Linked DNA regions of Saccharomyces cerevisiae S288C. Changing the gene in region 2 together with the main gene of any one other region gives a genetic interaction. Each region holds a gene or a part of one and is shown on either strand. Other genes may lie near its edges.

Region 1 (7,293 bases), on a different chromosome or scaffold from region 2:
CTGTACATAAGCAGCAACTCTTCTCAATCACGGCAGTCTCCTAATCTCCAGAAAGTTTCTCCTAACCATGAAAATGCGGTTGAATCAAATGCACAAGAGAGCGTGCCGACATTTGAGGAGGAACAGTATGAGACTAAAACAGGATTGAAACGGAAACGAATAGTCTGCACAAGACCCTTCGAATTTATCAAGTCACCACACTCTGTGATGGAGGTTTGGAAGGAGTATACAGAAGGTGTTAACGGGCAGCCTTCTATAAGGAAAATGGAAGCTCTTTATCAAACGGCATGGAGGCGAGATCCAGCAGTAAATAAAAGATATTCGAGAAGAAAGGTTCTTTGGAAAGCCATTCAAACTGGCCTTAATCGTGGGTATTCATTAAACTATGTTGTTGAAATATTAGAAAACTCAAGATATGTTAATGATAAACAGAAGGTTAAACAACCTATTGGTTGGTTATGCCACAGTTCTCATATTCCAGAGACTTTGAAGTGACATTTGCTTCTTGTGTATTCACCTTTATCCCAAATTAGCCCTTGTAACACTTATGCTTTTCTTAATAAATTAATAATTGGACTTTCCTTTAAAGTGGGTTGTATCTGTAACAATAATCTCTAATAATATCCTATAAAACTCAGAAGTCAGCCAACAACAATTGTATACGTATACATATCTATATAATATGCCTTGTACTTTACGCTCTTGAATTTAGAATAGCTGAACACCTAACTGAATTTAAGTAAAGGATCCCAAGCGTGAGATATTTAGGTTTACTCAGTTTTCTTATCTTGCCTTTTGATTATCACGTTGAGTGTCGAAGAAACCTGTATTCATCCTCGGCTTCTTGTATATGATTCTAAAATAATGTGTGAAAAAAAAAATAAAATAAAAAAAAGAGGAAAATAATATAGAATAACTATTAAGTTTCATTAAAAAAAAACCATTTGAATATACGACCAAAAACGTTACGCTTTCATAAAGTGTGAATAAGCAAGGGAACTATACTTGAAATATGGGGGCAAAGAGTGTAACAGCCTCTTCTTCAAAGAAGATTAAAAACCGGCATAATGGGAAAGTGAAAAAGAGCAAGAAAATCAAGAAAGTACGGAAACCACAGAAGTCTATATCCTTGAACGACGAAAACGAAGTAGAGATTTTACCTAGTCGTAATGAGCAAGAGACAAATAAATTACCTAAAGATCACGTCACGGCGGATGGAATTCTTGTATTAGAACATAAATCTGATGATGATGAAGGATTCGATGTCTACGATGGACATTTCGATAACCCTACTGATATTCCCTCGACTACTGAAGAAAGTAAAACGCCTTCATTAGCAGTGCACGGGGATGAGAAGGATCTTGCTAACAATGATGATTTTATCTCTCTTTCTGCTAGTTCTGAGGATGAGCAAGCCGAACAGGAAGAGGAGAGGGAGAAACAAGAATTAGAAATTAAAAAAGAAAAGCAAAAGGAAATCCTTAATACTGATTATCCATGGATTTTAAATCATGATCACTCCAAACAGAAAGAAATCTCGGACTGGCTAACCTTTGAAATCAAGGATTTTGTTGCCTATATCTCACCAAGTCGTGAAGAAATTGAAATTCGTAATCAAACCATAAGTACAATAAGAGAGGCTGTCAAACAGTTATGGCCAGATGCTGATTTGCACGTGTTTGGATCATATTCTACCGATTTGTATTTGCCTGGTTCCGATATTGATTGCGTGGTAACGAGCGAACTTGGTGGTAAGGAAAGTAGGAATAACTTGTATTCGTTAGCAAGCCATTTAAAAAAAAAAAATTTGGCAACAGAGGTTGAAGTTGTCGCCAAAGCTCGCGTTCCAATCATCAAGTTTGTTGAGCCACATTCAGGGATCCACATAGATGTTTCATTTGAGAGAACAAATGGTATTGAAGCAGCAAAGCTTATTAGAGAGTGGTTGGACGATACCCCCGGCCTGAGAGAATTAGTCCTTATCGTAAAACAATTCCTACACGCAAGAAGACTAAATAATGTGCATACCGGTGGTCTTGGTGGGTTTAGTATTATATGTCTTGTCTTTTCCTTTTTGCATATGCACCCACGTATAATAACTAACGAAATAGATCCAAAGGACAACTTGGGTGTGCTCCTGATAGAGTTTTTTGAACTTTATGGGAAAAATTTTGGTTATGATGATGTTGCACTGGGATCATCGGATGGATATCCAGTATACTTTCCAAAATCGACATGGAGTGCTATTCAGCCTATTAAAAATCCATTTTCATTGGCCATTCAAGATCCAGGTGATGAATCAAATAACATCAGTCGAGGGTCCTTTAACATTCGAGATATTAAAAAGGCATTTGCTGGTGCTTTTGATCTGTTGACGAATAGATGTTTTGAATTACATTCAGCAACTTTTAAGGATCGATTGGGGAAAAGTATATTGGGAAACGTGATCAAATATCGTGGAAAGGCAAGAGATTTCAAGGATGAAAGAGGTCTAGTACTGAATAAGGCTATTATTGAAAATGAAAACTATCACAAGAAACGTAGCAGAATAATTCATGATGAAGATTTTGCCGAAGATACAGTTACCTCCACAGCCACCGCTACCACAACAGATGATGATTATGAAATAACGAACCCACCTGCTAAGAAGGCTAAAATAGAAGAAAAACCTGAAAGTGAACCGGCCAAGAGAAATAGTGGAGAGACATATATCACTGTCTCTAGCGAAGATGATGATGAAGATGGATATAATCCTTATACCCTTTAATATGTGCCTTTTTGTTTAAATGATGCACTGAACTGTACATCACTGTGTACCTGGATAGAATGTGTGTTTAAATATGCGTATTATGTATTAATAATTGAATTTAATTTTACTTCTGTTTTTCTTTTTATCGCTGTGAACTTTTTTGTCAAGAAGTCGCTCTTTGTTGGCTTTCTCTTTTATTTTATTCCATTTCTTTGAGGTCTCAGCAGTGGTATCATTAGGAAATTGGCACGTTTGCCGAATTTCTTGAACCAACTTCTCGAAGCATTTTAATTTGTTGGTTTCCCTTGACCTAGTTTCATCAGATTGAATTACTATAGAATCGCTGCCCTTAGCGTAGTATCGAAACCTGCCGCTACTTAAGATGTTTCTCACTTCCTGAGGAATCCAAGCACAGTTTGATAAACCAGAAAGTGTCAAAGTACATTTACTATTTACCTTATTAACGTTTTGGCCTCCTGGCCCGCTGGCTCTATCGTAACGTAAAATAAATTGATTTAAGGGCAAGCCCGTTACGTTAAGTGCTCCTACCCAGTTTCTTGCCTGGACGAAGTCAGATTTCTTTCCGATCTTTTTATTACTAATCAATCTGACTGCCTCTTCAACGAACTGTTGTTTCTTGCAGTGCAACATTGGTTGAAGTACAAACAGAGGGGAGCGCCCAGTAAGTTTAAACTTTCCCATCAATGTTGTCATATGATATTTCTTGGCGTGTTTCCCTTCAATTTACTGAAAGGCAAACAGTAATGTTAAGGATTCTGTTGTTTTTTTTTACCGTATACGCTTGATTTCGTCAGCCCCTTGGAAGACACGAAATGTTGACTATCCGCTTCCAGATCTGGTAAAAGATTGATTTGCGATAATTCCTGTTGTTGTCATCACGGGTGTTATGGTTTGTTGTAAACTAAAAAAAGAATGAAGGAACAGGACGCAGATTCATCTAATCAAGTTCTGTGGGGAGGTCCCCAGTGGTAAGTGAATAAATATTCGCTTTATGAAGACCTACACCTGGTTTTCTCAATGGATCAGACGATAAGTACAATTTTTGTAGAGCTATACTCGAGGACAATCAGACAAAACGAAAGAATATCTTTCGATGAAGGGCGTAAAAAAGGAAGGATGGATATCTTATAAAGTTGATGGATTGTTTTCGTTCTTATGGCAAAAGAGATACTTGGTACTGAATGATTCGTATTTAGCATTTTACAAAAGTGATAAGTGCAATGAGGAACCAGTCTTATCTGTGCCTTTGACTAGTATAACAAATGTTAGCAGAATACAATTGAAACAAAATTGTTTTGAGATTCTTCGGGCAACAGATCAAAAAGAGAACATATCCCCCATAAACTCCTACTTTTATGAATCAAATTCCAAAAGATCGATATTCATTTCCACAAGAACCGAACGGGATTTGCATGGCTGGCTTGATGCCATTTTTGCCAAATGTCCTCTCCTTAGTGGTGTTTCATCACCAACAAATTTTACACACAAAGTACACGTTGGGTTCGACCCAAAAGTGGGAAACTTTGTTGGAGTACCTGATAGTTGGGCTAAACTACTACAAACCTCAGAAATTACGTACGACGATTGGAACAGAAACTCAAAAGCTGTTATTAAAGCACTGCAATTTTATGAAGATTACAATGGACTGGACACAATGCAATTCAATGATCACCTCAACACAAGCTTAGACTTGAAACCTTTAAAAAGTCCGACAAGGTATATTATAAACAAGAGGACTAATTCCATCAAGAGATCAGTAAGTAGGACGCTCCGAAAAGGCAAAACAGATTCCATTTTACCCGTCTATCAATCAGAACTTAAACCATTCCCAAGGCCTAGTGATGATGATTATAAGTTTACCAACATAGAGGACAATAAAGTACGCGAAGAAGGCAGGGTGCATGTTAGTAAAGAAAGCACGGCAGATTCCCAGACAAAGCAGTTAGGAAAGAAGGAACAGAAAGTCATTCAAAGCCATCTGCGAAGGCATGATAATAATTCAACATTTAGACCTCATCGACTAGCACCATCTGCACCTGCTACAAAAAATCATGATAGTAAAACTAAATGGCATAAGGAGGATCTCCTTGAACTTAAGAATAATGATGATTCGAATGAAATAATAATGAAGATGAAAACTGTTGCAATTGATGTAAACCCAAGACCGTATTTCCAACTGGTAGAAAAGGCTGGTCAAGGAGCAAGTGGTGCAGTATACCTGTCAAAGCGAATAAAATTACCTCAAGAAAATGACCCGAGATTCTTGAAATCACATTGCCACCGAGTCGTAGGCGAAAGAGTGGCCATTAAGCAGATACGTTTATCTGAACAACCAAAGAAACAATTGATTATGAATGAACTCCTAGTGATGAATGATTCGCGCCAAGAAAATATCGTTAATTTCCTTGAAGCCTATATTATTGATGACGAAGAGTTATGGGTGATAATGGAGTACATGGAAGGTGGCTGCTTAACAGATATATTGGATGCTGTAGCAAGGAGCAATACCGGTGAGCACTCATCGCCGTTAAACGAAAACCAAATGGCATATATAGTAAAAGAGACGTGCCAAGGTTTGAAGTTTTTGCATAACAAGAAAATTATCCATCGAGATATCAAATCTGATAATATCCTTCTGAATTCCCAAGGGTTAGTGAAAATTACAGACTTCGGTTTTTGTGTGGAATTAACAGAAAAAAGAAGCAAGCGTGCCACAATGGTAGGTACTCCATATTGGATGGCACCTGAAATAGTGAATCAAAAGGGATATGATGAAAAAGTCGACGTTTGGTCTCTAGGGATAATGCTTATTGAGATGATAGAAGGTGAACCGCCTTACCTAAATGAGGATCCTTTGAAGGCGCTGTATCTGATAGCTAACAACGGTTCACCAAAATTGCGTCATCCAGAGTCAGTGTCCAAGCAAACCAAACAATTCTTAGATGCCTGTTTGCAAGTGAATGTCGAATCAAGAGCATCCGTGAGAAAACTACTAACGTTTGAATTTTTGTCAATGGCATGCAGCCCTGAGCAGCTCAAAGTATCCTTAAAGTGGCATTGAAATTTAGCTTTTTTTTATTTAGGAGAAACAATATATATATATATGTATATACGTATGTATGATTCATATTTTAATCGCATTTTTATTTCATCTAAAACAATTACTCTTTTTGATTATTTATAGAAAAAAAACAACAATGATACGTTTGCTTCGCGTTATGTCAATAGAAAATGTAAAAGGAAAAAGAATGTGTTGCTATTCGTTAGGCGGATTTACGGATGGAAGACATATCTATGAACTGAGCTTACAAACGCTTTTAGCGGGGACAGTTAATCATTTTACGGATGATTTTATAAGAATAAACTATTTTTGAAAAGTTAGGATAGTATTTTGTACATTTGGCACCGAAGTAATTCAAAATCGAGGAAGACTCGCACACTTTTACAATCACAGAAGGCAAAACCCGGCATGACAGGATGATAATGTCATCAACTATGTCGACAGAAGCCGCCTTGGTACCGAACGAAAGTGTTTTTGACACAGTTTCGTCATTCAACGAAGACGATGCCAATTATAGCGTTCTTGATTTATACGATGACGACGATGAAGGGGATGATAGTTCTACAGTAGAACGAAAAGAAATATTGACAACACGTGAGCTTGAAAAAGCAAAGGCGTTTACCAGCTTAATCATGGCAGATCCTGAGAATTTTGATAGATATGGATTTAGCAAGAAAGGATATTTCATTAGTCAGGAAGAATACGACAAATGGTGGACAGAATATAATAGATACACCGAAAGAAGAAAAAAAAAGTGGGAGAACTTTCTTCTTAAGAATAAGATTGAGCTCCACAATGATAATCCTCTAGTATATCCTGCAAGGACAGATGAATTGTCAAAATTTGTTAGAAAAGGTATACCAGCAGAATGGAGAGGGAATGCCTGGTGGTATTTTGCTGGTGGACAACGACAATTAGACGCAAATGTTGGCGTTTATGATAGACTGAAAAGTGACTGTCGCGAGGGTGCCGTATCTGGTAAAGATATGGAAGCTATAGAACGGGATCTTTATCGAACGTTTCCCGATAATATACATTTCCATAAGGAGTCCTTCCAAAATGGAGAGCCGGCGATCATCCGATCATTGCGTCGAGTATTAATGGCCTTTTCTGTTTATGACAAGACTATTGGATACTGCCAATCGATGAATTTTCTCGTTGGATTGCTATTATTGTTCATGGAAGAAGAGAAAGCATTTTGGATGCTGGTTATTATTACCGGTAAGTATTTACCTGGCGTGTATGAATCAGACTTAGAGGGTGCGAACGTGGATCAAGGGGTGTTGGTGTTATGTATCAAGGAATATTTACCCGAGATATGGTCACACATTGAGTCATCGTATATGAATGGCAATGGCAGCACTGACCAGATATCAGGGCCAGCATCGGGGGAAGAATATCTCTGCAGGCTGCCTACGCTGACGCTGTGTACGGCAAGTTGGTTTATGAGCTGTTTTGTGGG
Region 2 (6,859 bases):
ACCAGAAATCGGGCAACTGCAACGAAGAAACCGGAGTTCCTGTAGCTTCACTGGACGTCATCAGTGAATGGCCAGAAATATACGATGCAGTTGTAAGAAATTTACAATTTATAGACTCCTATGGCGGCGCAATTGAAATCAATACGTCCGCATTAAGAAAGCGCCTCGAGGAGCCGTACCCCAGCAAAACCTTATGTAATCTGGTCAAGAAGCACTGTGGATCCAGATTTGTTCTAAGTGATGACGCACACGGCGTGGCGCAAGTGGGTGTGTGCTATGACAAGGTAAAGAAATACATAGTAGACGTGCTACAATTAGAGTATATTTGCTACCTTGAGGAAAGCCAATCACCAGAGAATCTGTTAACTGTAAAGAGATTACCCATTTCGCAATTCGTTAATGATCCCTTTTGGGCCAATATATAATCTGATTATCTTGAACTGGATGTACATAAAAAAAAACTGTCATATAAACTCATGTACAGCTGTGTAGAAGTGAATGATCTTTCCAAGAAAAAAATTTCACACTGAATTGATTGAATTGACTGCTCATTTTATATTGGGTGCCCAAATTGTCTTTCTTTATTGTTCGTTTAGTAGCAGCACCCTGTTTGCTCGCCGACTCGGCCGCATCTGGAAGTTCAACATGAAAGAGTATAAACTATCGAAGAAATCTAGAACGGCTTTGGATCACGGGTGGCAAAGAAATCAAAAACAAAAGCTGTATCACACGCAATGGGTATTAACAATCCTATTCCAAGGAGTTTAAAGAGTGAGACAAAGTATGTTTTATACGGGTTTGGCTGGGAAACCTTTAAAAAAGTTCTCCCTTAATTTGTTCATCATTTACTAACTAGTAATAAACAATTAATAAAGAAAAGCAGCGAAGATTTTGGCTAGTTTTGTCAAACCAAACCAAGTTTTTGGTGCGGACCAAGTCATTCCTCCAGACGTTTTGAAAAGAGCTAAAGGGTTGGCTATCATAACGATCTTAAAAGCAGGTTTTCTATTTTCAGGTAGAGCTGGTTCTGGTGTGATTGTCGCAAGATTAAAGGATGGTACTTGGTCAGCTCCATCTGCCATTGCCATGGCAGGTGCTGGTGCCGGTGGGATGGTTGGTATAGAATTGACTGATTTTGTTTTCATTTTAAATACTCAGGATGCTGTTAAGTCGTTTTCTGAATTTGGGACCATCACGTTGGGTGGTAACGTCTCCGTTTCTGCTGGGCCTCTTGGTAGAAGTGCAGAAGCAGCTGCATCAGCCTCCGCCGGTGGTGTGGCTGCAGTTTTTGCCTATTCTAAGAGTAAAGGTCTATTTGCAGGGGTTTCTGTGGAAGGTTCGGCTATTATAGAAAGAAGAGAGGCTAACAGAAAATTTTATGGTGACAATTGTACCGCGAAAATGATTTTGTCTGGTAGGATAAGACCGCCTCCAGCAGTTGATCCATTGTTTCGTGTTTTAGAGTCCAGGGCGTTTAATTACAGACCCTCCAACGGTGGTCGTGGCAGTTTCGATGACGACGAAGACGATTACTATGACGACGACGATTACTATAATGACATTCCTAGTTCATTCAGTTCTACAGATGCTTCCTCCACTAGACCTAACACAAGATCCACAAGGAGAAGAGCCCAAAGCGGTTCTCGTTATACGTTCGACGATGATGATGACGATGATGATTATGGTACTGGCTATTCAAGGAATTCAAGACTGGCTCCTACCAACAGTGGCGGTAGTGGTGGTAAATTGGATGACCCATCTGGAGCTTCAAGTTATTATGCCAGCCACAGAAGATCAGGAACTGCTCAGTCAAGGGCTCGTTCTTCAAGAAATCGTTGGGCTGATGATGAATACGATGATTATGATGATGATTATGAATCCGGGTATAGACGCGGGAATGGAAGAGATAGGACAAAAGACCGTGAAGTCGATGACTTGTCGAACAGATTTTCTAAATCTAGAATCTCGTCCGCTTCAACACCGCAAACTAGTCAGGGCAGATTCACTGCTCCAACATCCCCATCCACGTCTTCTCCAAAGGCCGTGGCATTATATAGCTTTGCAGGAGAAGAGTCCGGAGATTTACCATTCAGAAAGGGTGACGTGATCACAATTTTGAAAAAATCAGATTCTCAAAATGACTGGTGGACCGGAAGAGTCAACGGTAGAGAAGGTATATTCCCAGCAAATTACGTTGAACTAGTTTAAAAAATTTGAAGGAGAGTAAAGAATACGAGAAACGTTATTGATTTACACTTATACCTTTTGCCTTACAGTTTATCAGCACTCGGACCTAAATACATATCATATAGCAGACGGCGTCCCTCTGTCTATCCTTTTAAGAATTTTTTCCATAATAATAATTTTTAATAATATCTAAATATAACGAAAAAGATTGAATTAGTGTAAATAAAAAAAATAAATAAGGAAAACTCTAGCTAAATTAACAAAGAGACATTCATCTTTTAAATCCTAACGAGCTTGCAGCCTCTTCAATTTGTTTTTGCAATACACCTTCATGATATGGACTACTATTTAGCAACGATAAAAATTTGTCCAATATTAACACATCGCGATTCCAATAAGTGTCGAATATATACTCAGCTATTCCGTGCACATTTTCGTCTCTAGTGGCACTTGGAAATCTCATGAAATCTATACCTCTTCTTACTTGCTTTTCGAATGTTTCCAAAACTTTCTTATTGAAATTTTTATTCTTTATTAGTGATCTTGTGCTGCTATTCATTGACGAAAGATCTCTCATGTGTGGGGAGTTCAAACTATTCGCATGTGAGTACTGGTAATATGGGGTAATTTGTGGATGAGAAGAGGTGTGTATATTGCGCATTCCATAACCATCATGATATTTAGGTGCATTATTTTGTCTTTCCCAAGATGTCGTGACGATGCTTCCTCCTACTAAACGGTTATTCAAAAAGTTAAATATTCTCGTAGCATCTTCAAAATTCCTGAATTTGATGAACCCAGAATATGTAGAAGAATTTTCGTCATATCCATCTATCTGAATCTTGAACGGTCTAATATTTTCTTGGTGACATAAATATTTAAGAAATTCCTTATTGCAGACAGCGCTTAAATTTTCCAGGAAAAGTGTAGATATTTTTTGAGATTCTATAAATTTGGCTCTTTCTTCTTTATCCTGTGCCCTGGTTACTAAAAGCTTTTTACCTCTGAAATAAAAATTATTGTAGCGTTTAATTGCCTTTTCTGAGTCACTGCTATTTTTATATGTAACAAATGCCCAAAGATATTTAACTTTAGTGGCATTGGATAGATAAATTGACTTAATTGGACCCACTTCACTGAAGAAATTTAAAATATCATCCCTTGTAGTTATTGTTGGAAGGTTTTTGATGAATATAGAATTTTGGGATGAAGAGTAAATATTTTTAGATTCCTTATCATTCCCCTTGGAGTGTTTCTCATTCAAAGATTGCTCTTTTTCAATAATTGTTTCCGCATCTAATCGTGATTTTTGTGTTTCAAAATTTGGAACACTTCTGACCTCTTTATCAAAATGTATTCCACATAGAATTTTCTTACCAAAAAAACTGGTATTATTGTACATTTTGATCACATTTCTCGCAGTTTTTTCGTCCTCAAAGTAAACAAATCCTATATCTTTCCTAGAGTCTAATTTGCATGATAGAATTTTACCATATCTAGAAAACGTATCATAGAATACTCTTGTTGTTAATAATGGATTATTTAGAGGTAGATTAGAGAAAAAGACATTAGTGCCGAAATTCTTTCTAAACGTTGTATTCCTCAATGATGGCATAATCCTAATTTCTTTACCATTAACCTTCGTGTAATTTAATTCTTCCATAGCCTTTTCAGCTTCTTCTTTGTCTTCAAAATTTAAGTAACCATGGCCCAGTGATTTTTTTGTCACTGAATCAAGACAAACTTTAGCAGAGACAAAAGAGGGATATTTTTTGAAGATCCCTTTTAAAGTTTCTTCAGTAACTGTTTCATGGAGGTCACCAATGAATAGCGGAACTAGTTTTTTACTTTCAAAACTTTTCAATTTTCCATTCTTGTGACCGGATTTGTTGTTGTTAATTCTCAAAAATTCAGGTGAATCAGAATGGCTCGAACTTGACGATCTGGATGTTTTTTCGTGGTAGTCGTCTGGCCTAATAGGAGTAACTACGGGGTTAAATGATATTTTCTTTTCTTGATCTTTTTTTACTTTCAAATCCTGGTTTTTCAAAATATTCAGGGGAACCATACTGAGTATAGAAGGTTTTTTGTTTGAAATAGAATACATGTTTCCTCTTGTAGGTTGAAATTTTTTTTGTGATACTGATTCTCTCGTTATTATTGGTTCGTTCAATTAATGAATAATTAGTTTGATTATTTTCCTCTTTATTTGACCTTAGGAACAGTTTTTAAGGTATACTCTGAACTGCAAATTTTTGTCATAACTCTTGGTAATCAAGGCTAGAAGTGTACTATTTTTGCTTTCTGCACAAGGCTTTTTCTTCGGTACGACACAAAAACAACTATTGTGTCGCAGTCCATAGAAGGAGCAAGAAAAAAGAATGTCTTTAAAGGCGAATGTGATTCTATGCTTTCTAGTACCTACTGTGCCGAATAATGTGTAAGTCTCAAAATTCTTTTCTTCCAAAGCATATCCATAATATTTACCTTACGCTGGGTATTTTTTTTTTGGTCACTCCAGATCTAGTTTTTTAAAACTTGATCCCAACGTAACTAAATATAAACAAGACAAAGCTCGAAATAATATAATGTAATTTAGCGAATGTAGTGTTTATATCACCACATTTGGAGAATGTACAATGAATAGTTTCTCTGTCTCTAATGGAATAAGAATTTAATTTCAAGATTTAATTACTTTATGGTGGACCATTTATCTTATGATATCTAGCAAATCAAAGGATCCCTCAAACTGAAAACCAATAGCAGGATCGACCTGACTCTTTTCAACAATGCAGTGGATTTTTTTGAACTTATACTGCCGCACGCCAAACATTGCATTTATCCCTTTTTCTTTAAAATGCCAGTTAGAGTGCGTAAATGCTATATACATCACTTTCTATATGAAACTATACAAGCTTAATGCACGAGCCGAAACAATATCGGCGACTATCGTTTGTTACCCTTTGATAGAAAACCTCCCATAAACCCAGCTAAAGAAGTAGCCCTCCGTCTTGTTGGTGACCTTTTCATACTATTACTGGATGGGTTATTCGAAGTTTTCGAAGTTAACTCATTAAGTGTATTAAGAGATACCCCACTAGAACTACTTCTAGAGCCATTAATTATGGAAATAGGGGAAGCAGTGCTACTCATAAAACTAGAGGAATGAAAGCTAGTTGGTATAGAAGATGACAATGTTGTCGAAGAGTTCCTGGAATGTACCCTACTGGGTTTTCTTGGTTGCACATTTTGTATCGCACAAGGGTAGGAAGGAGGAAGGTCCTCACCAATGATATCATATTTCATTGCCTTGCCATACGATGGAACCTTGTTCAGGTTTTGAGTCTCTGGATAATTTAAGCCCGAGGGCACTGGTAACACTTCATGGGCTGACACGCTTGGGGCTGGGGATCTTGAAAGTAAAACAGGTGATACGTTACTATGTACTCCTGGCACAGAGCCACTATTGGGACCAAGAGCACTCTGAGGTAAGATTCTCTCCGTGCCATCCTCTGGTGCTGGAACGTTTAGTAATGGAGATAGCGATCTGGAAGCGGCAGCAGACGAGGCAGACGGTGGTAGCCCTAGATTGTCACGTTGATTTCTAATTTTTGTCAACCGTATACGTAAATCTTCTAAATCCTGTTGCTGATCCTCGACAGTCGAACATTCGCTTCCCAAAGGAGTACATGTTCCAGACGTTTCCACAGCCGTGCGAGTGAAAGAACCGCTATAAAGACGATCATATACGTGCATTTCATAATTTGGGGGCGTCATCAAGTCTGAAATGGTAGGAACAGAGCCACCGCTACGCATATCCGCTAATAATTCCAACCCTGTGACTGATGCTGATCTAGAAAACAGATATTCCTCTTCCTCTTCTTGTGATGAGTTTTCGTCTTTCTGGTTAGTGGTGCTAAAAAGCGAATACAAATTCGAGGATGACAATGGTTTTATTGAAAGTGCCACAAATGGTGAAATAAAAAGTTGAATCGGTAAGGACGCTCTTAACTCAGATTTATGACCATCTGGGTTAATTAGGATGATGAAAAATTTGAGCTTATGGCGAACCTTAATGTTAGAGCGGACATCACAATCTTGCACACAGTTTGATAAGCTGTTCGGGATTTGCAGGATGGTATCAATCTCCCACTTGTCTTGGAATGAATGATCAGGCTGAAAAAAGGGGTTATTTACAAAGCAACCATTACCATTAAATTCTCCAGATGACTCGTTCAAGGGATCTTCAAGATTTAGTTCTGTCACTTGCCTATTTTCAGAAATTACTGGAGGGAAGGGGTCACAATATTGATAATTCTCAAATAATACGACTTTGATTGAGCCCAATTTCAAACCTTTCGAAAGAGGTACAATGGAAATATTTATAGGGGTGGCTGAACCAATAGCTACGGCTTTGTTGGGTACTGAAATAGAATAATCCACTTTGTCGGGCCATGAGTTATCTACACAAACAGTTTCTGATAACTCCACTGCTGCGGGTGAAATGGTTCTCAGAACTCTAATATTTTTCCTACAGATCAAATCACTATAATTTTTGCTGCGTTCAATAACGGATTCCATGCTATATGTCACGAAGCAATTTGGCAAAGATTCTACGCTCTCTGGTAACGAACCAGGCAAAATAGCACTAAAGGGAAAATCGTAGTTGCCC
Region 3 (7,431 bases), on a different chromosome or scaffold from region 2:
CCAGCGCGTATTCACGCATTAGTCTCCTAAACCCTCTAAGTGAAATATATGTATGTTTATTATTCTCCATCCATAAAGTCTACCAAGATCAAAGAAGACCGCAAATATTGTACATAGGCTTTTCAATAATATATATTTGCTTCAAACCAAAGCTGTCCTCTTTTTTATTTCTTCCTGTCGGCGAATTTTTTGTAATCTTTTCTTTGATTCAAACTCTGCAAAGGCTTTAACGTAGACAGGAATATCTTCCCAGCCTTCATCAGCATCTGATTCACTGACTGATTGGTCTCCTCCATCTTTCTGTTCGTAATTGTGTCTCAAAGCAATATTTTTCCTCTTGGCTGCCAATACACTCTTGGGCAGAGGCCCTTTTCTTTTAGGGAACAAACTTCTGATAGCAGATAAATCATGAGGTTGTTCTGCTTTTTTGCTATCGGTTTCCAGCTTCTTTTCACGTAACTCAACAGGGACATTTTCCATATGTAACAATCCCAAAGGTGGATTCCAGTCTTTAGGCCACTTCTCCTTAGTTCCTGCGATCTTTTCCGCAGCCTCTTTCCTTCTATGTTTCCAGTCTCTTAAATCCTCGCTATATATCTCCCAGACACAGTTAACGCAACCTGACATGCAACAGTTATCGGGTTCTTGTGGTTTTGCAGGCACTTGGACACCTGCTATTTTCTTCGTTCCGCCGCTAAGCACTCTACTTGTGGATCTTGGTGGTTCACCCTTTAAGCGTCCTCCAAAAACAGTGGTCATTCTTTCTTCGACAGAAGTAGAGATATCTTGAGTGTTTCCTTCAAAAGTCATATCTACTCTGGAGTATCTTGTGAACCTCCGCACCGGATAAATTCTGTAAAGTAATGACCATCCCTGATTTCTTATCATTTTCTACTTTTGATCACGTCTCTATCTAATGACGGTTTCATGCACCCTCTGACTGTTGTAATTTACGTATTATTATTCTGTTTAATTTATGCTATTTATGTAAATGAGTTCGGCCATGTCGGAGGAGAAAGATATCTTTTTTCAAATTTGAGTATCTGATTCGGGCTTATAATACATGCCCACGACATCGCTCGATCATATATTCCAACTCTTCAAGCTCCCTCTTCATTTTATTCTTCACGTTGAACGGTTCAAAGAGCCCCAGAAAATAGGTGCTGAGATCCAGACACTCCTTGTACTTACATTGGTAAAATAAACGATGGCAGAAACCACTAAGCACCTGTCGCTGATGCTTATTGGAGATATCGTACTTGCCTTCCCGGATCTCAACCAAGGGATCTACCTCATCCATCCATCCTACCTTTGTCCGCACAGGGCCTTGTTCTACTTCGAAGTAGTGCTGCAATTGCTGTGTATACTCTTCTTCCGTTTGACCTTTACGTATTTTAGTTTTCCCGGTGGATTTTCTAACAATTACTTCACCTGTTCTACCATCTAACGAGATTGGCTTAGTCACTGATTGATCCTTCTCTCCGTGGGCTTTCCTAAAACCTGTACTATAGTTTTTTTCCACCATTTTTGGTGCTTCTTCTCTATCAGATGCTTCTTTCATAAAAATTATTATCTTTCTTAGCTGTTATTCATCTTACATTTTTTTTTCAATTACGGCGAGGCGATGACTTCAATCGTTGCTGTCAAGATTGAATTGACAATTACAGTCGATGTTGAATATTAACTTATATATGACAGATCATTACAGCTAGTCTAGTTCGACAAGATTAGTAAGATTAGGAGTTATTTTTAACTGCTTATTATGCAAGTTGTGTAGGCCACAGGCGCAACTGAAAAACATAATTTCAGATTAGGCAGTTACTGGAAAGATCGCGTTCTTGTATTGTCTAAATAGAAGCAGTTGTTTTAATAATGCTTACAATTGAACTATGAACCAAAGCAATAATTTATGAGAAACTAAAATGGGATGCATCAGATCTTTGCACTCAATTGAGTTTAAAACTGTACAGGTACTAATATTATATTAACGCTGCTTCTATAACACTTGTTTTGACATGACGATAAGTGTAGTGTATTCAAATGCCGTATGTCACTTGAACACACAGGGAACTGCACTCTGCACTTCGGAACAAGATTGAAAGTTACTGTGTTATTAACCTTTGCCAACAAGCGAAAACAACCAGGTGTTTCTGCGGTTTACAAAATCTTTAAGGGATTGAGGTTAGTTGGCTCAAAGAGAAGAAGTTCCCAGTCGATGTATCAAGCAGAGCTAAGAGAAAAAGTGCCGCGAAAGGGTTTGATTGGTCAAGTTGGCTTGTTCATCAGGAACTAAATTAATCAAGGTGTGATTCTATCTGTCAACCCCCCCCCTTGATACTTCCTGTACTTAGAATCAATTTATTAAATACAAATTTAGAATCTGTGATTCGTAAATCTTAAGTGTTTAAATACTAAGTGTGTATTAAAGGCTTTACTTCAAGCAACGAAAAATAAATAACCCCGAATATATGAGGGGCAATAATACCTTTTCACTCATTTGATGAAAAAGAAAAGATGTTTGATGTTATAGAAAATACCTTATACCATATCTTCTACCTACTCATCAATATCAAACCCTCACAGAATAGAGATAAAGAACATCAGAACCATCTGGGCAATGTCATTTTTAAAGTTCGCTTATAGAAACTCTTGGCGATACTATAGCAAGTCCACACGGCATTTTCATAAAATACCTATAAGACAGTTCATAATACCTACGTCAATTGCTTTTTATTTGACACAAAATTCGTTTCCAAAACAAAATTGTTTGATATACAATGATTCTCTAAAACCGGATCCCAAAGGTGATACTTTTGAAATGGGCCTCTACGTTTCCTCAGAAAACGAATTGCAGGAAAAGCTTAAATCTTTCAGGTCTGCTAAGATCACTGAATCACGAAATAAATTAATAAGATATCTAAGAATCTTTTGGTTCGGTTTTAATGATAATATTGTTGAGCCTGTATGCACGATTTTAAGGTTTTTAGAAATTTCAGCTATTTTTTTACCTCTTCTCCTATTATACCCCATATCATGGTTTGGTCATAAACTCAAAATTACGGACACCAATATAACTGAAACTCGAGGTTCATTGATTTGGTGTCAACTACTGCGTAAAGCATTGGAATTGGCTGGCCCGAGTTTCATTAAACTCGGACAATGGGCAGGATCGAGAACCGATATATTCTCTCACGCACTGTGTCATGAGTTGGGTAAATTGCATAGTAACGTTACAGCTCACTCTCTAAGCTTTACTCTGGAAAAACTTTCTCAAGCATTAAAGGTTGACAAGATCGAAGATGCTTTTGATGAATTTAATCGAACACCAATTGGAGTTGGGTCCATCGCACAAGTTTACGTGGGTGAACTATCCCAAAAGTACATCGATAAATATGACAATATACAAATTGGTAAGGATGGAAATCGTTGGTGTGCCATCAAGATCTTGCATCCAAATGTAAGATCTCAGATCCGGAGAGATTTGAAAATAATGAAATTCTGTGCTGACGCAATAAATTGGATTCCGACTATGGAATGGCTGTCTTTACCCAGCGAAGTCGATCAGTTTTCCATATTAATGAATATTCAGTTGGATCTAAGAATTGAGGCGTTAAACCTGGAAAGATTCAATGAGAACTTTAAAAATTCTATTCAGGTGAAATTTCCTAAACCATTTCTCCCCTTGTCAAATAGGGATGTTATGTTCGAAGAGCATGTATATGGTCTTTCCATGGAAAAGTTTTTATCTACGAAGAAGCAAATTAACGACGTTGAACTTTGTAAAAAAGTCAGTGATCCCTTCGTTGACGCGTTTCTACAAATGCTAATTCTTGATGATTTTGTTCATGCTGATTTGCATCCAGGCAATGTTATAATCAGATTTGTGAAGACGAACAAATACGGCACAAACATTATATCCTCCGAACTTGAATCGTACAGAATAACGCACGACCTGAGGAAGAAGATAGAGGAGGACCAAGATCAGGACTTTGTTGGAAAACTGAAGTCTGTATTAACTAATTACACTCCCCAAATTTGTTTTATCGATACAGGAATAATTACAGAATTGAATGAAAAAAACAGAATTAATTTCATAGCTCTATTCAACGCATTGGCCCGATTTGATGGTTATAGAGCTGGTGAGTTGATGATTGAGAGATCAAGAACTCCAGAAACAGCTATTGATAAGGAAGTATTTGCGTTTAAGGTAGAAAAGCTAGTGGATAAAGTTAAACAAAGAACATTTACATTGGGAACCGTCTCAATTGGCGATTTACTCGATCAAATGCTTAGTATGGTAAGGTCGCACCATGTTAGAATGGAGTCCGACTTTGTTTCCGTGGTGGTCGCTATTTTACTTCTAGAGGGTATTGGACGCCAGTTAGATCCAAACTTGGACTTATTTGAAAGGTTCGTATTTTACGCATGGATTAACGGTTTTAAAGAATAACATCAATTTTTTAAAACCCTTTTCTATTGCTTTTTTTTGCTTTTTATTGCTACTAAAGAAATTCTTTTACTAACAAAAATACCCACATCTTGTAACTTCTCTTCGTAAACAGTTCGCTGCCTATATTACGTGAATTCGGGTTTAAGCGGGAAGCCAAAAGTCTCTTGAAAGATGCAAGCACATTATCAATGCTCAAGATATGGGTTGGTTTAGAAGTGCGTCAATTAATGCATCTCTCGATGAAGCAAATATACGATCTTGTCAGGACTGATCAATTGTGTCCTAATTATTAATATTCTTTCTTTTTATGCATCTTTTATAATTGCGACTTCCACGTGTTCGCAGGTGGAGCAATGTTACACACGCTGTCCCAACATATTAGCTCTCCAAAAAAACGACCAAGTTTATTTAAGTGACAAATAATAATTTGCTGTTGCTCTAGCTGAAATTTAGACCAGTGCTGTCATTATCGACTCGTAGTGTTCTTTTAATAGTAAATTTCGTCAAAACGTTTCTAATTCACTTAATAGCGCCAACTGAATAAGAGAATTATTTTTAGAACGTGCACATTATATTAAAAAGAGAGCGTTGGCTGACAGAAGTAAAAAATAAATTATTGTCTTACAAAGTGAGACTATTAAAGAGTTTAAGTTTTGCAATTAGTGCTTCATTGAACAATAAGGCAACGGTAGCAAAAAATTTAAACCCAACTAAGAAGGGAACCCTCATCAAATTACACAAAAATAGCCACTATCTCCAACTAAGGTGACAAACTACTGAAACTGTAAGGTCTTTATATAATCAAACAATATAATCAATGAAGTTCGGAAAAACCTTTGCCAATCATCGCATTCCAGAGTGGTCAAGTCAATATGTTGGCTACAAGTCGTTGAAGAAAATGATTAAAGAAATTACAAGACTTCAAGAAGACATATATAGGGCACATAACAAGAATAGCTATGATGAAGGCAGGCCACCAACAAAAATGAGAGATTCATCTAATAGTGCTCAAAATTATTTGGACTCTCCAAAAATCCAAAAGTTATTGGCGTCGTTTTTCTTTGCAGTTGACAGGGATATTGAGAAGGTTGATACATTTTACAATTCCCAGTATGCGGAATATAAGAAAAGATTTGAGAGATTGCTTTCTTCTAATCAATTCAATGAGATAAAATCAACATTAGTGGTCGATGCCAACAAAGAAGATGCAGTAGCGCAAACCTTACTCACAAAGGATACGAGAGAGATGAATATGCTTTTAAAGGGAACAAGTCAAGCCAGCCGTCTATCTTACCATAAAGATGACTTAATTGAAATTCAGTCTATCTTAGCTGAGTTAAGAAAACAATTTAGAAACTTAAAGTGGTACGCTGAACTAAATAAGAGAGCTTTTGGTAAGATTTTAAAGAAACTGGATAAAAAAGTCGGCACAAATCAGCAAATGTCAACTATGAAAACTAGAATCTTGCCGTTACAATTTGCTAATGATTCTCTTATTACCAAAGATTTGAGTTTGCTAAAAACTATCTGGGAACAAGTGACGTTCAGGATAAATTCTTACGAGAGAGTAATGAGGAGTACCTCGCCGAACGCAAATGCTAATGATAATACAGAATTCTTTAAGATTATTTGCGTTTTTATAGAAGAAGATGATAGCAAAGGATTGATTAGAGAGCTAACAAACCTATATTCGGAATTGTCTTTGATTCCAACAAGAATTATGATAAGTGTTTTAAACAAGGCAGCACTGTCTAAATCACTGGCATGTATTGATGCTATCTTAAAGGTTATTCCGTCTCTAAATGACTCGGAAGATATTAACAGAAGAAATTTTTTCCATCATCACATAATTGCAATCGGGAAGTTAATCAGAAAACAGGAAATTTTAAGTAGGAAAAAGAAGTCACAACCCTCAAAATATACTAATAGTGAGGGAGAAATTGTAACAGATTTAAGAACCCTGCATACGACCCTATCTGCCCCGGCAGAATCAGATAGCATTACAGAGGAGGAAAAAAGTTCGGCCTGTACACTCTCTTATATTTTAGAGGAGTTACCAATTCATTTAAGACCATGCCTTTTTCAGCATGATAATTACAAGAGAACGCCCTTGCATTATTCTTGCCAGTATGGCTTATCTGAAGTTACGAAGTTGATTATCAAGTTAATGAAAGAATGGAATATCTGGAATGAAATCCCTATTGATGACGTTTCCGCGTTCGGAGATGCCGAATCATTGACACCTTTACATTTATGTGTGTTGGGTGCTCATCCCAAAACAACAGAAGTCTTATTGCAATCTTTGGATCCGAACGTGAAATTAAAAAGTTCAAGTTTGTTACATTTGGCCACTGAGTGGAATAACTATCCCCTTTTACATGTTCTCCTATCATCAAAAAGGTTTGATATTAATTATCAAGACAACGAATTACATGAAACACCGCTATATCTTGCTTGTAGATTAAATTTTTTCGAAGCTGCTGTGTGTTTGTTGTACAATGGAGCCGACCTTGAAATAAGAGAAAAACTTTTTGGCTGGACAGCTATCTTCGTTGCAGCAGCAGAAGGGTTTACGGACATTGTAAAGCTCTTGATAGCCAACAACGCGAACTTTGATATTGAAGATGAAGGTGGGTGGACGCCGATGGAGCACGCGGTATTGCGCGGTCATTTGCACATTGCTGATATGGTTCAAATCAGAGACGAACTGGTCACGCATCCCCATTCACAGTTGAACAGTGGTAGCGAAGAGAAAGAACCACTAAACGAAATTAGTGCCGGAGAATTAAATGAGAGAAATGAAAATGGAAACGGAGGTAATAAAGGGTCCTTGGGAAAACTGGCCGGACCAATAAAGTCATATGGACACAGATTCCTGGATAATAATGAATCACTTATACTAATAACATTGGGAAGTAATGACACAAGAAACAAAAGCCCTTCAATTTCATTAAGCTCGGAAGCACTAGCAAAAGTTATTG

What was found.
Region 1: mutations in PES4 (region 2) and SKM1 together harm fitness more than expected from each alone (negative genetic interaction), as found in Saccharomyces cerevisiae (2 studies listed by BioGRID).
Region 3: mutations in PES4 (region 2) and CQD1 together harm fitness more than expected from each alone (negative genetic interaction), as found in Saccharomyces cerevisiae (2 studies listed by BioGRID).

The regions. Positions count from the first base shown.
Region 1 is NC_001147.6:100,463-107,755, forward strand, and holds SKM1 (putative serine/threonine protein kinase SKM1), read left to right. Parts: upstream 1-3,863; coding exon 3,864-5,831; downstream 5,832-7,293. Other genes in the region: MSN1 (Msn1p), read left to right, coding at 1-495; non-canonical poly(A) polymerase PAP2, read left to right, coding at 1,013-2,767; PTH4 (Pth4p), read right to left, coding at 2,855-3,463; Rab GTPase-activating protein MSB4, read left to right, coding at 6,248-7,293. UniProt on the Saccharomyces cerevisiae protein: May be involved in cellular signaling or cytoskeletal functions. May play a role in morphogenetic control.
Region 2 is NC_001138.5:197,309-204,167, reverse strand, and holds PES4 (Pes4p), read right to left. Parts: upstream 4,295-6,859; coding exon 2,459-4,294; downstream 1-2,458. Other genes in the region: HIS2 (histidinol-phosphatase), read left to right, coding at 1-425; LSB3 (Lsb3p), read left to right, coding at 735-781, 876-2,208; ROG3 (Rog3p), read right to left, coding at 5,134-6,859.
Region 3 is NC_001148.4:342,576-350,006, reverse strand, and holds CQD1 (Cqd1p), read left to right. Parts: upstream 1-2,617; coding exon 2,618-4,410; intron 4,411-4,562; coding exon 4,563-4,743; downstream 4,744-7,431. Other genes in the region: DPC25 (Dpc25p), read right to left, coding at 142-888; YPL108W (uncharacterized protein), read right to left, coding at 1,055-1,561; GDE1 (glycerophosphocholine phosphodiesterase), read left to right, coding at 5,268-7,431.